3 linked regions of the Rattus norvegicus genome follow. The protein of the gene in region 1 interacts with the protein of each later gene in a biochemical or structural test. Links are inferred from orthologs where the notes say so. Each region holds a gene or a part of one and is shown in the gene's direction. Other genes may lie near its edges. The genes, in order: Jag1, Notch1 and Notch2.

Region 1 (2,616 bases):
GGTTCCTCTGCTGAGCTCTGTCTTAACAGTGGCTTGGGTCTGTTGCTTGGTGACAGCCTTCTACTGGTGTGTGCGGAAGCGGCGGCGGAAGCCCAGCAGCCACACCCACTCTGCCCCTGAGGACAACACCACCAACAATGTGCGCGAACAGCTGAACCAAATCAAAAACCCCATCGAGAAACACGGAGCCAACACAGTCCCCATCAAGGATTATGAGAACAAAAACTCCAAAATGTCAAAAATCAGGACACACAACTCGGAAGTGGAAGAGGATGATATGGATAAGCACCAGCAGAAAGTCCGGTTTGCCAAACAGCCCGTGTACACGCTGGTAGACAGAGAGGAGAAGGCCCCCAGCGGCACGCCGACAAAACACCCGAACTGGACAAACAAACAGGACAACAGAGACTTGGAAAGTGCCCAGAGCTTGAACCGGATGGAGTACATCGTATAGCAGACAGTGGGCTGCCGCCATAGGTAGAGTTTGAGGGCACCCCGGGGCTTGTAGTTTCTTTAAACTGTTGTCGTATCCCAGTCTGAGGCTGTTGTTGACTTAGAGTCCTGTGTTAATTTAAGTTTCGACAAGCTGGCTTCCACTGGCACTGGTAGTTTCTGTGGTTGGCTGGGAAATCGAGTGCAGCGCTCACAGCTATGCAAAAACCAGTGAATGTGCCCGGGTGTACATTCCCCTGCAGCCGACACGTCGGGCTCCCAGGAGCTGCCCAGGCCTAGGCCTCGGAGCTTCCACATCTGCCAGCGGTCCTAATGGTGATGGCAGCCTTAGGATCATAGTTTTATTTATATTTATTGACTCTTGAGTTGTTTTTGTATATTGGTTTTATGATGACGTACAAGTAGTTCTGTATTTGAAAGTGCCTTTGCAGCTCAGAACCACAGCAACTATCACAAATGACTTTATTATTTATTTTTTTTATTGTATTTTTGTTGTTGGGGGAGGGGGGGATTTGATGTCAGCAGTTGCTGGTAAAATGAAGAATTTAAAGAGGAAAAATGTGTCAAAGTAGAATTTTTGTATAGTTATGTAAATAATTCTTTTTTATTAATCACTCTGTATATTTGATTTATTAACTTAATAATCAAGAGCCTTAAAACATCATTCCTTTTTATTTATATGTATGTGTTTAGAATTGAAGGTTTTTGATAGTGTTGGAAACATATGGCTTTTTTTTTTTTTTTTTTTTTTTTTTTTTGTGAACTTTTTCTCATTACGTGTTGCCTGTAAGCCAAAAGTAAGGTGTTTGGAAATAGTTTCTCTTGGAAGGATGGGATAGGCTTCTTCCCCTGGGAATACTGATGGATTTTTTTTTTTTTTTTTTTTTTTTTGTACGACGTCAGGTGTTCAAACACTTCCTTGATAGCATCACTTTAAGACACATTCTAAGGACTGACTGAGGCAGATTGAGAATTCGTCTAGAACAGGTTTTTTTTTTTTTTTCTCTTTTCTTTTTTTATTTTTTCCTGCTTTAGACTTGAAAAGAGACAGGCAGGCGATCTGTGACAGAGCAGTTTAAGGGAACAAACTGAGCTATGTAGTCAGAATGTGACTGGTTGGATCTCATTAAAAGTATCAGATTGTGTGAAGTTGGAAGCTTACCAATCTTACTTTGTAAATTCTGATTTCTTTTCACCATTCGTATGTAATGCTGAACCACTTGTAGATTTGATTTCATTGTTGTTGTCTACTGCATTTAGGGAGTATTCTAATAAGCTAGATGAATACTTGAACCATAAAATGTCCAGTTAGAGCACTGTTTAGATTGGCCATAGAGTACACTGCCTGCCTTAAGTGAGGACATGAAAGTGCTATTACCAAGTTCAAGATCAAACAAGGCTTATAAAACAGTCATCCTGGCTCACCACGGAGCCCAGGAAGATACTTTGTATTGTCCTATTAGTGTTATATGAACATAAAATACATCTTTGATGTGTTGTTCCTGGCAATAAATTTTGAAAAGTGATATTTATTAAATTTTTTGTATGAAAACCTGGAACAGTGTGGAGTCTTCTGAGCTGGCTTTTGCACCCTGCTGTTTGGCACTGCTCATTCGGAGGACATAGCCTAGGAAAAGGGGCGGGGGTGAAGCAAATAGCAAAACTTCCTAGTACTCAAAAACCAAGGCTGCTGTGTAGGCAGGAGCCATAGGGTCAGCCCCCCCCCCCCCATTCCCTTGTCATTTGATAAGTGTGAATACTGTGTAAATAAATACCACTGCATTAATGGCTTGCAGTGTGCAGGGGAATTGTTTGGGAGCACTCCCAGGGAGTGCCCACTGCACTAACAGGGTTAAACAGATTTGGTATTGAGGTGAAGGAGGGAGACTGCGCTTTCTCTCTCTCTCTCTCTCTCTCTCTCTCTCTCTCTCTCTCTCTCTCTCTCTCTCTCTCTCTCTCCACCATTTGGATTGGATTAATAGTAATTCCTTGCAGTCATTACAGACCACACCCTATGGCTCTGTGTGTACACTTATCTTCAGTGGGTCTCTTTGCCACTATGTGGGTAGACTAATGTTAGAGCTCACCTAGTCACCACCTTGGTCCAGGGAGTGTGTGTTGGGCTGCCTTGCTACCTTCTACTGAGACCTGGTTCTCAGTATT
Region 2 (4,336 bases), about 120 Mb from region 1:
GTCAGCCACTCCCCCAGACTCCAGAAGGATGAGGCCTTCTTTGTATCCAAGTCAGGTTGGGTAGCACGTGCTGGTGAAGCTGGAAAAGAGTTGCCACACACCCAGACAGCCAGAGGCCTTCAGGACCCATCTCAGAAGGGGCACTTGAGAGCCAGACGTTCCTTCTATGGAAACTGCTCTCCGGGGCTGCAGATCTCTTATATAAATATTTCTGTAGCATTGGGCGATTTTTCTCGCGGGTGTTGACCCCGTGTTGCCAACCCCCAGGCTTGAGGCCAGCTTCTGAGAGGAGCAGGAGAGGGGGGGTCTGGACAGCTGTTGGCACTGGCCCTTCAGTGCCTTCTAGAGACAGGTGTGGCAAGGGAGATGGGAGGCTCGTAGGACAATATAAGCCTGGGCCCTTACCCTGTGTCACACTCACCATCCTGTTTTGGGATGGGAAGGTGTTGTTTGTGCCAAATTCCATTGAATTTTGGCCGCAAAGGGATTAGGAAGATATCTTGGATGTCCAGTGCTAAGCAGCTTAGCACAGGATGTCCAAACCTCAAGGTGGAGAGATTTAAAACACGAGAAGAAGCTGGCGCTAGCATCATTGTAATGGGACAGCACTTTTCCGGGCCACCTAAGTGGCAGAGCCAGGGACCAGTGAGAAGAGTTACCGTGGAACGTCTAGACTCGGGTCCCTGCTGGGACTGGAGAGCGCAATCTGTCTAGCAAGGCACCGGTCCTTGGGGAGTTCCCTTGGGGAGCCCCGAGCTCCCTTCTACAGAGGCTGCGGGCGCGATGCCACCATCCTTTAAGGTCAAGCGTTCCGGAAGTCATGGCTAAGAGTGCCTGGCCTCAATCCTCCTGATGCCTATAGCCAAGACCAAACGACTCCCAAGAGTGGAGCCCCAGGGTTAGGACGCACGAAACGCTGTCAGGGTGCCACATCTAAACTCCTGCCCCGGGAGTCCCCAAAACTTGACTTCAGCTGATCCTGCCCACGGCCCCAGACCTAACTCCAGGGTAGAGCTGGTTCCTGGTGCAGCTACGCCTTTCCCACCAGACCCGCACCTCCTCTACTATTGAAATGCAAATTCTGGCCAAATGTCGCCAAGGGCCGCTACACACAAAACCTGATCCTTCCGCAGCCCCAGTTCAAACTTTTGGTCTATGTAAACTTTCGAACAAGAAGTAGTCCCTAGGTGCCTGTTCCCTACACCATGCCTTCTTGTCTTGTGAACCATAAGATCCTGACTAGAGACGCTCTCCCTAGCCCGGGGAGGCGCAGAGCCCACCAAAGCGTTGAGAGAGACAGGGTCCACAAGGGGAGTAAGGGTGCGCAGGAACCGGGGGCGGAGCGCGGTGGGATGGGGCGGGGCAGGGGCGGGCCCGCACGGGGGCGGAGCGCACGCCTGCCCTGAGCCTCACTAGTGCCTCTGCCGCGGGAGGGAGCGCAGGGGCGTGGGGCGCAGGGCGCGGGTGCGAGCGCAGTGAAGGAACGAGCCTGGGTGCCTGTAGTGCCGGGGAGACCCTGAGAGCCCAGCGCCGCCCACCCGCCAGGAAAGAGGGCAGCAGCGGGTGGACGCCCGCGGGACCGCCCGTGGTGCGCGTGAACGTCCGATCCCCGCCGGCCACCGCAAGAGGCCGCCGCCCCGGCAGCGGGCAGCTGGCGAGCAGGCATGCCGCGGCTCCTGGCGCCCTTGCTCTGCCTAACGCTGCTGCCCGCGCTCGCCGCAAGAGGTAGGCGCCCGCGAGCCCGCAACTTCGGGCGCCCTTCGGAAACTTCTGGTGCGCCCTGCGCACTCTCTGGGTAGATAGGATTAAGGGACCAGATGCCAGAGCGGGTGGACGGGACATGGAACCTGATGTCCTGGTGTATGAGAGGGACTCCTCCTTCCAGGGGTACCGATTTTTCTCATAGCGCCCAAAGACGCTGAAAGTTTGGTATGGGGCTCTGGGGCTTCGAGGCCGGGTGGCCCGGGAGGCCCAGCCCTGGCTCGCACTTGGGCAGACACTCCTGGGGCTCGCCTCGGGGGCGGACATGCTGCTTGCGCCTGCTACTTTTCGATTTGAATCGAATCGGTTTTGGTTTCCTGTTGCTTCTTGGGACCATTTATTTTCTTTCTTTTTTGCCTCCGGCCCGTGCTGGGGCGGATGTTGGGGTGCAGTATGAGGTCAGGGGCGCTATGCTCGCGTTGCTTACTTAGAGCAGGGCGGAGACGATGTGCCCTGACTTCTAGTATGGGGTTTCAGGATCACTGTCCCCTAGCCGGAATCAAACTTTAGAAGAGGGGCGATGTGCAAGCGGCAGCCTAGGGTGGGGGTGGGACTGACTCACTTTGGAAGTTTGGAAATCCTGCGCCGATTGGAACGGGGGTGGGGGGGGGCGCTTATTTCCCTGCCGGCTCCAGGAACTGGGGACTCCTGTCGTAGTAACCAACTGCACTCTTCTCCCAGTAGTTGGAGAGAACTGCCTACCCTTTCCTTAAAAGTGGGGTTTTATGTGATGCTCCAGTTTGGCCCCCACTTCGGGGCTTAATTTCTTAAGATGGGGTGGGAGGGGCTTGATTAATAGCCCCTTCCCGAGAATAGGGTGGAATTCCTTCTAAGTGAGGTTTCTAAGACCCCCTCCCTGGGTGCGGCGGGGGCTGCCCCTGGAGATGCCTGCGAACAGGTATTGGGTGTCGGAGGAGGCGGGGCAGGTCTCCGGGTGCGGCCCCGCTGCCCCAGGAGGCGGCCCTGGCGCGACAATGGGCCGCTCTGATTCCCGGGCCGGCGCTTTGTTGGAGGGCGGGGTGGCGGGCTCCGCAGCTGTCGCTTTTTCCCACGATCCGGGGAGCTGAGTGTGGCCACCCCCTCCCTCCTGCGGCCCCCTCGTATCTTGTGTTTGAACTGAAGCAAGGGTGGAGGTTGGTCGGGGGCTTTTTCTGGGCTCCTTAATCCACTCCCACTTCGACTGCGTGGTTAGAAGTTTGGGAGAATTTCCTAAGTTTTTCTGTTGCCGTCCACTTCGCCTCACTGTGAATGGGGCTGTACACCTGCCACATAGCCAGCCTATCCCTTCCCCACTAGTTTTTGACTGCCACGCTGTGAGCAGAACATTGATCCGTAAGGGCTACCCAGAAGCTCCCCCTCCCACGCTTCACCTCCGGACTGCCAGTAACTCTAGTACATAGGCACCATGGCTTTAGTCTCCGTCCACCGGCAGGACCGAGACTGACCTCTCTCTTCTGACCCTTTCCCAGGCTTGAGATGCTCCCAGCCAAGTGGGACCTGCCTGAATGGAGGGAGGTGCGAAGTGGCCAACGGCACTGAAGCCTGTGTGTGAGTACCGCCCCTGAGGGGACCTGTTGCTTTTGTCAGAGCAGAGCCCCTGCCTTCTGGGGACAGAACACTGGGCTATTGTCTTCGGAAGACAGCCCAGAGGTTGAGTGCAGTCACGTGCTGACTTTTATTGGACAAAGTCTGGCAATTACTTAATCACCAGCAATTATGCCTCGTGTGGAGCTACTCTGGCCCCTGGAGGTTGGCACGCTCCCTCGTGGGCCCTCAGGCTCCTGGGAATCCACGGCACCCTAATTCCTGTTTAAAATACTTGAGAAACAGTTGTTTTTGGTGATGAGACTGAAAGTCTGAGCCCCCGCCCCTTGTCACCTGAGATCCCATTCTGAGCAAGAGTGCCCTAGGTAGGAAATTGAGTATTGCGTGTGTTCTGGTTTTGTTGGTACTGGTGTTTTGGGTTTTTTTTGTTTGTTTGTTTGTTTGTTTGGTTTTTTTGTAGACAATATCTCACAATGTATCTCTGGCTGTCCTCAAACTTCACTATGTAGACTTTGAACTCAAGAGATCTGCCTGCCTCTGCCCAGTGGAAATTTCCTATTTTAAGACAAGATCCACCTCTCCCTGAGGTTAGGAGAAGTTAGAATGGTCCTTGTTGGTACTGCTGTCTGGGTGGTGGGTGTAAGTGCTGGAGTCTGTCTTCTGTCTTGGCAGCTGCAGCCCCACCTCTGCACTGTGTTCCAGGGGTCCTCAGCCTCAGGCCATCAACTGTGCAGCTGGCGTGATTTGGGGATGGGAAGGAGTAGGCAGCCAGGGGAAGTCTGCTGGTGCTAGGGCTCGTGCCTTTCAACTTGAGCTCCTCCCCGATGAGACTAGCAAGGTGCTGGAAGCTGAGGCCTCCCCTGGAGGCTGGAGACAGAGAAGGCTCCAGCCTGCATGGCGCGCCCTCATTCCAAATGCTGAAGGGCCCATCCCCTTGACAACGGTGCTGCTGCCTCCAGTACCCAGCCTGTGGGCTGCAGCCCCACCTCCCTGGCTGGCCCGCCCTGTACTGAAGCCAATTAAGCTGGTC
Region 3 (3,650 bases), on another chromosome or scaffold:
TCTCTGAACTTTCAGGTGAATCGGAGGATCCAAGGAACACTCCGCTCCTCTATCTGCTTGCGGTTGCTGTGGTCATTATCCTGTTCCTCATCCTGCTGGGGGTCATCATGGCAAAGCGGAAGCGCAAGCACGGCTTCCTCTGGCTGCCTGAAGGCTTCACGCTTCGCCGAGACTCCAGCAATCACAAGCGCCGTGAACCTGTGGGGCAGGATGCCGTGGGGCTGAAGTAAGGAATTTACAATAAGCCAGTATCCACAGGGAGAAGCAGGGATGAGCAGGAGGGCATATTATGGAATCCTAACTTCAAATTTTCAACCTCCCCTTTATTCGCCCTGACCACAGCTCCTAGTGGCTTGTCCGAGTCTGTGAGCATTGTGTGTACACATATTGCAGCCACACTCAGCGTCTGAGTGGGGGAACACGTTTGATGTGGTCTCTTAGTGAGAAGAGAAAGGATGAGTGCTCAGAAATGTCAAACATTGCCCATCAGGGCTGGTGTGGTGGCTCAGTAGGTGAACGTCTCCCCCGCCCCCACAAGCCTGCTGACCTGTTTGATCCCCGGTACCCGCATGGTAGAAGGATGGAGCTGACGTCCTCATGTTGTGCTGTGAGTGTATGATGTAATGAAAGGGGCTAGAAGGATACCTTGGTAGTCAAGAATATGAACTGACCTGGGTCAGCTCCCAGCACCCATGCTGGGTGGCCTGGCTGTAATTCCAGCTGCAGGGGGATCTGTAGACACCTGAACTCACGTGCTCATATACACACAGACATGCACACTCAATTTTGAAAAATATTACTGTAATTTTGAAAAAGTGCTGTGCATCCGATCCCATTGGACCAAGTCAGAGGCTAACATGAGAGTGTGCGGTGAAGTACAGAAAGCCACTGCGTTTGCCCAGCCATAACCTGTACTCTTGTCTCTCCCCTGAATAATCATCAGGAATCTCTCAGTGCAAGTGTCAGAGGCAAACCTGATCGGCTCCACGACAAGCGAGCATTGGGGTGATGATGAAGGACCCCAGCCAAAGAAAGCCAAGGTAAGCTGTCCTAGGAAAGCCACATTGCCAGCAGTCCTGTGGTCATACTCTCAGTTTATATCTTTCCCAGAGCCCCATGAACAGCGGGGCCGCCGAGCACTGACAGCCTTTGCTGCTCATGTTTGTTCTTGAAGACCCTTTAAAATCGTAAAGCAAGCTGCTGCCGCCTGGCTCAGGGCCTGCGCCTGTGTTCATTGAGTCAGGACTGGTGGTGCGGTGCTCCCAGTTCCATCTACACATACATCCCGCTGCTTCTGTAGGAAGACATGGAGTTACCCAGTGAGGAAAGCCAAGACCGTTAACTTCTTGGGAGATCACCGAGCATGACAGTTAGACCATTGCTTTACACCAGCATTCTAGAGGCTGAGTCAAGGGAATCCAAATTTAAGGACAGCCTCAGCTACCTCTAAAACCAAATAAAGTAAATGAATGCAAACGTATTGCTTTTGTCACCCTGGAAACATACAGATAGCATTACAGACTGAGCGGGCTGTATTTAGGGATATAGACACATTTAACAACAATTAATAATTAAAGAAACCTAGATTTGAAAGAGAGCAAGGAGGTGGTGTATATGGGAGGATTTGGAGAGAGGAAAGAGAAGGGAGAAATGGTGTAATTATATTATAATCTCCAAAAAATCAAAGAGCCATTGCTCTGGTCAGGCAGAAGCCTCGTTGTATTTAGTATTCCGTGTCTGCAAGACAGCAGCAGCAGCCGCAATGGCTCTCTCTCTGAGTTGCTGATTCTCCCCATGCTCTCCTCAGTACTCACTCCGGGCGAGTACTGTCTTACGTGCAGGCAGGCAACCTTGGACAGGGTTTATCCCCCTTCTTGAGAACCTTCCAGGTGAAAGAAAAGTAAAGTAGCGTGTGCTTTCTCTCACGTGGAGCCTGTATTTAACTATGTACATAGACAGACAGAGCTGATGCACAGGGGCCGTCTGGAGGGAAGACGGGAAGGGGTGAGAGGTGACTGTGCCAGCCAAGTGCAGTGGCAGGTTTGTAACGAACCCGCTGCTCTGCACACTAAGTCCTTTTAAAGAAGGAAAGATGGCGTCTGGTTGGCTGGTGGTGATGCAGTGCCAGGTAGCACTTACCACGTGGTCAGCTGAGGAAACAGAAACCACTGTTAAAGGCCAACGAGACTAAAATCTTGTTTTATTTGAAGAGCAAATAGGAGTCAAACAAGACGCAGGCGACCACCATAAGCAGGTTAGAAGAGATAGTGGAAGACTGCCACTCCTCAGCCTCACCAGCGTAACCCGGAGGGCTCAGGTTAATGAGGGGAAACTGTTTACCCCACCTAGGCTGAGGACGACGAGGCTTTGCTGTCGGAAGACGACCCTGTCGACCGGCGCCCCTGGACACAGCAGCACCTTGAAGCTGCAGACATCCGCCGGACTCCATCCCTGGCGCTCACCCCTCCTCAGGCAGAGCAGGAGGTGGACGTGCTGGACGTGAATGTCCGAGGCCCAGGTCAGTGGTGGGCCTTACCATCTTGAGTTCTGTGTGGTTGGGTGAGCATTTCTTGTGCTGATTCCAGACACTAAGTGAGCGTGAGGAAATGAATGCATGAGAAATACAGCCATGTGGGGATTATGAGCCTGGGGACAATGACATTGGCTGCCCAGTGGGTAAAAGTATTTTCCATGGAAGCCTGACCACCTGAATTCAACCTCAGAGTCCGTGTCAAAGTTGGACAGAGTTGTCCTGTGGCCTCCATATGCATGTTACGGCACTTGTGTGCTTGTGCATACATGCATGTGTTCACACACACACACACACACACACACACACACACACACACGCCATACGCATATGTGTGCATATCATCCACATACAATGAGATACATAAATATTTAGTATTTTTAAATTACGGGCTCAGTGGTTAAAGAGCACTTGTGGCTTTGACAGAGAACCTGGTTCCAGTTCCCAGCACCATATGGTGATGTACTTCTTCAGTTCCAGTGGCTCCAACACCATTTCCTACCCTGCATGTGAACCATGCGCACGGTTCAGAAATCCATGTAGGCAAAACACTCATACTCACTGAATAAATCCTTAACTGTGTTTTCCATTGAAAATGCAGATTTCAAAGAAAGGGATTTTGCAGTGTTTCTTGTACAGCATACTGAGGGCAAGCAGGCTAATTAAACAAGTTAGATTCTGGGGGGTGGGGGGTGTTAGAAAAATACTATCTGTCTCCATCACGGGTTCCTTGCTGTAAAGAGACACTGACCAAGAGAGGGAGACAGACAGACAGACAGACAGACAGACAGACAGACTGGGCCTGGCATGGGCTTTTGAAACCTCGAAGTTCACCCCGCAGTGACACACTTCCTCCAACAAGAGCACACCTCCCAATCCTTCTAAGTAGTGTCACTCCCTGTTAACCAAGCATTCAAACCTATGTTTGTGAGGGCCATTCCCATTCATGCCACCACTGCACCCCACAGCAGAAGGCGACTGCCATCCCTGCTTTACATCACTGCACAGGTTTATTTATGTTTCTGTATAAAATGCTGTCTAGTTTGAAATGTCCTAATTCCACTTAAACCCAAGCAGAAAAGCTTATCAGCTTAAGGAAGAGCCGCAGGCAAAGGCAGCT

What was found.
Region 2: the proteins of Jag1 (region 1) and Notch1 form a complex in vitro, tested with the Homo sapiens proteins (3 studies listed by BioGRID and IntAct, with this or other methods). The link is inferred for Rattus norvegicus from reciprocal best matches to the Homo sapiens genes JAG1 and NOTCH1.
Region 3: the proteins of Jag1 (region 1) and Notch2 form a complex in vitro, tested with the Homo sapiens proteins (2 studies listed by BioGRID). The link is inferred for Rattus norvegicus from reciprocal best matches to the Homo sapiens genes JAG1 and NOTCH2.

What each region holds. Positions count from the first base shown.
Region 1 is NC_086021.1:144,858,849-144,861,464, reverse strand, and holds the end of Jag1 (protein jagged-1 precursor), read left to right. Parts: coding exon 1-454; 3' UTR 455-2,012; downstream 2,013-2,616. UniProt on the Homo sapiens protein: Ligand for multiple Notch receptors and involved in the mediation of Notch signaling. May be involved in cell-fate decisions during hematopoiesis. Seems to be involved in early and late stages of mammalian cardiovascular development.
Region 2 is NC_086021.1:29,718,716-29,723,051, reverse strand, and holds the start of Notch1 (neurogenic locus notch homolog protein 1 precursor), read left to right. Parts: upstream 1-1,438; 5' UTR 1,439-1,664; coding exon 1,665-1,725; intron 1,726-3,230; coding exon 3,231-3,309; intron 3,310-4,336. UniProt on the Homo sapiens protein: Functions as a receptor for membrane-bound ligands Jagged-1 (JAG1), Jagged-2 (JAG2) and Delta-1 (DLL1) to regulate cell-fate determination.
Region 3 is NC_086020.1:188,421,325-188,424,974, forward strand, and holds part of Notch2 (neurogenic locus notch homolog protein 2 precursor), read left to right. Parts: intron 1-15; coding exon 16-226; intron 227-943; coding exon 944-1,040; intron 1,041-2,349; coding exon 2,350-2,518; intron 2,519-3,650. UniProt on the Homo sapiens protein: Functions as a receptor for membrane-bound ligands Jagged-1 (JAG1), Jagged-2 (JAG2) and Delta-1 (DLL1) to regulate cell-fate determination.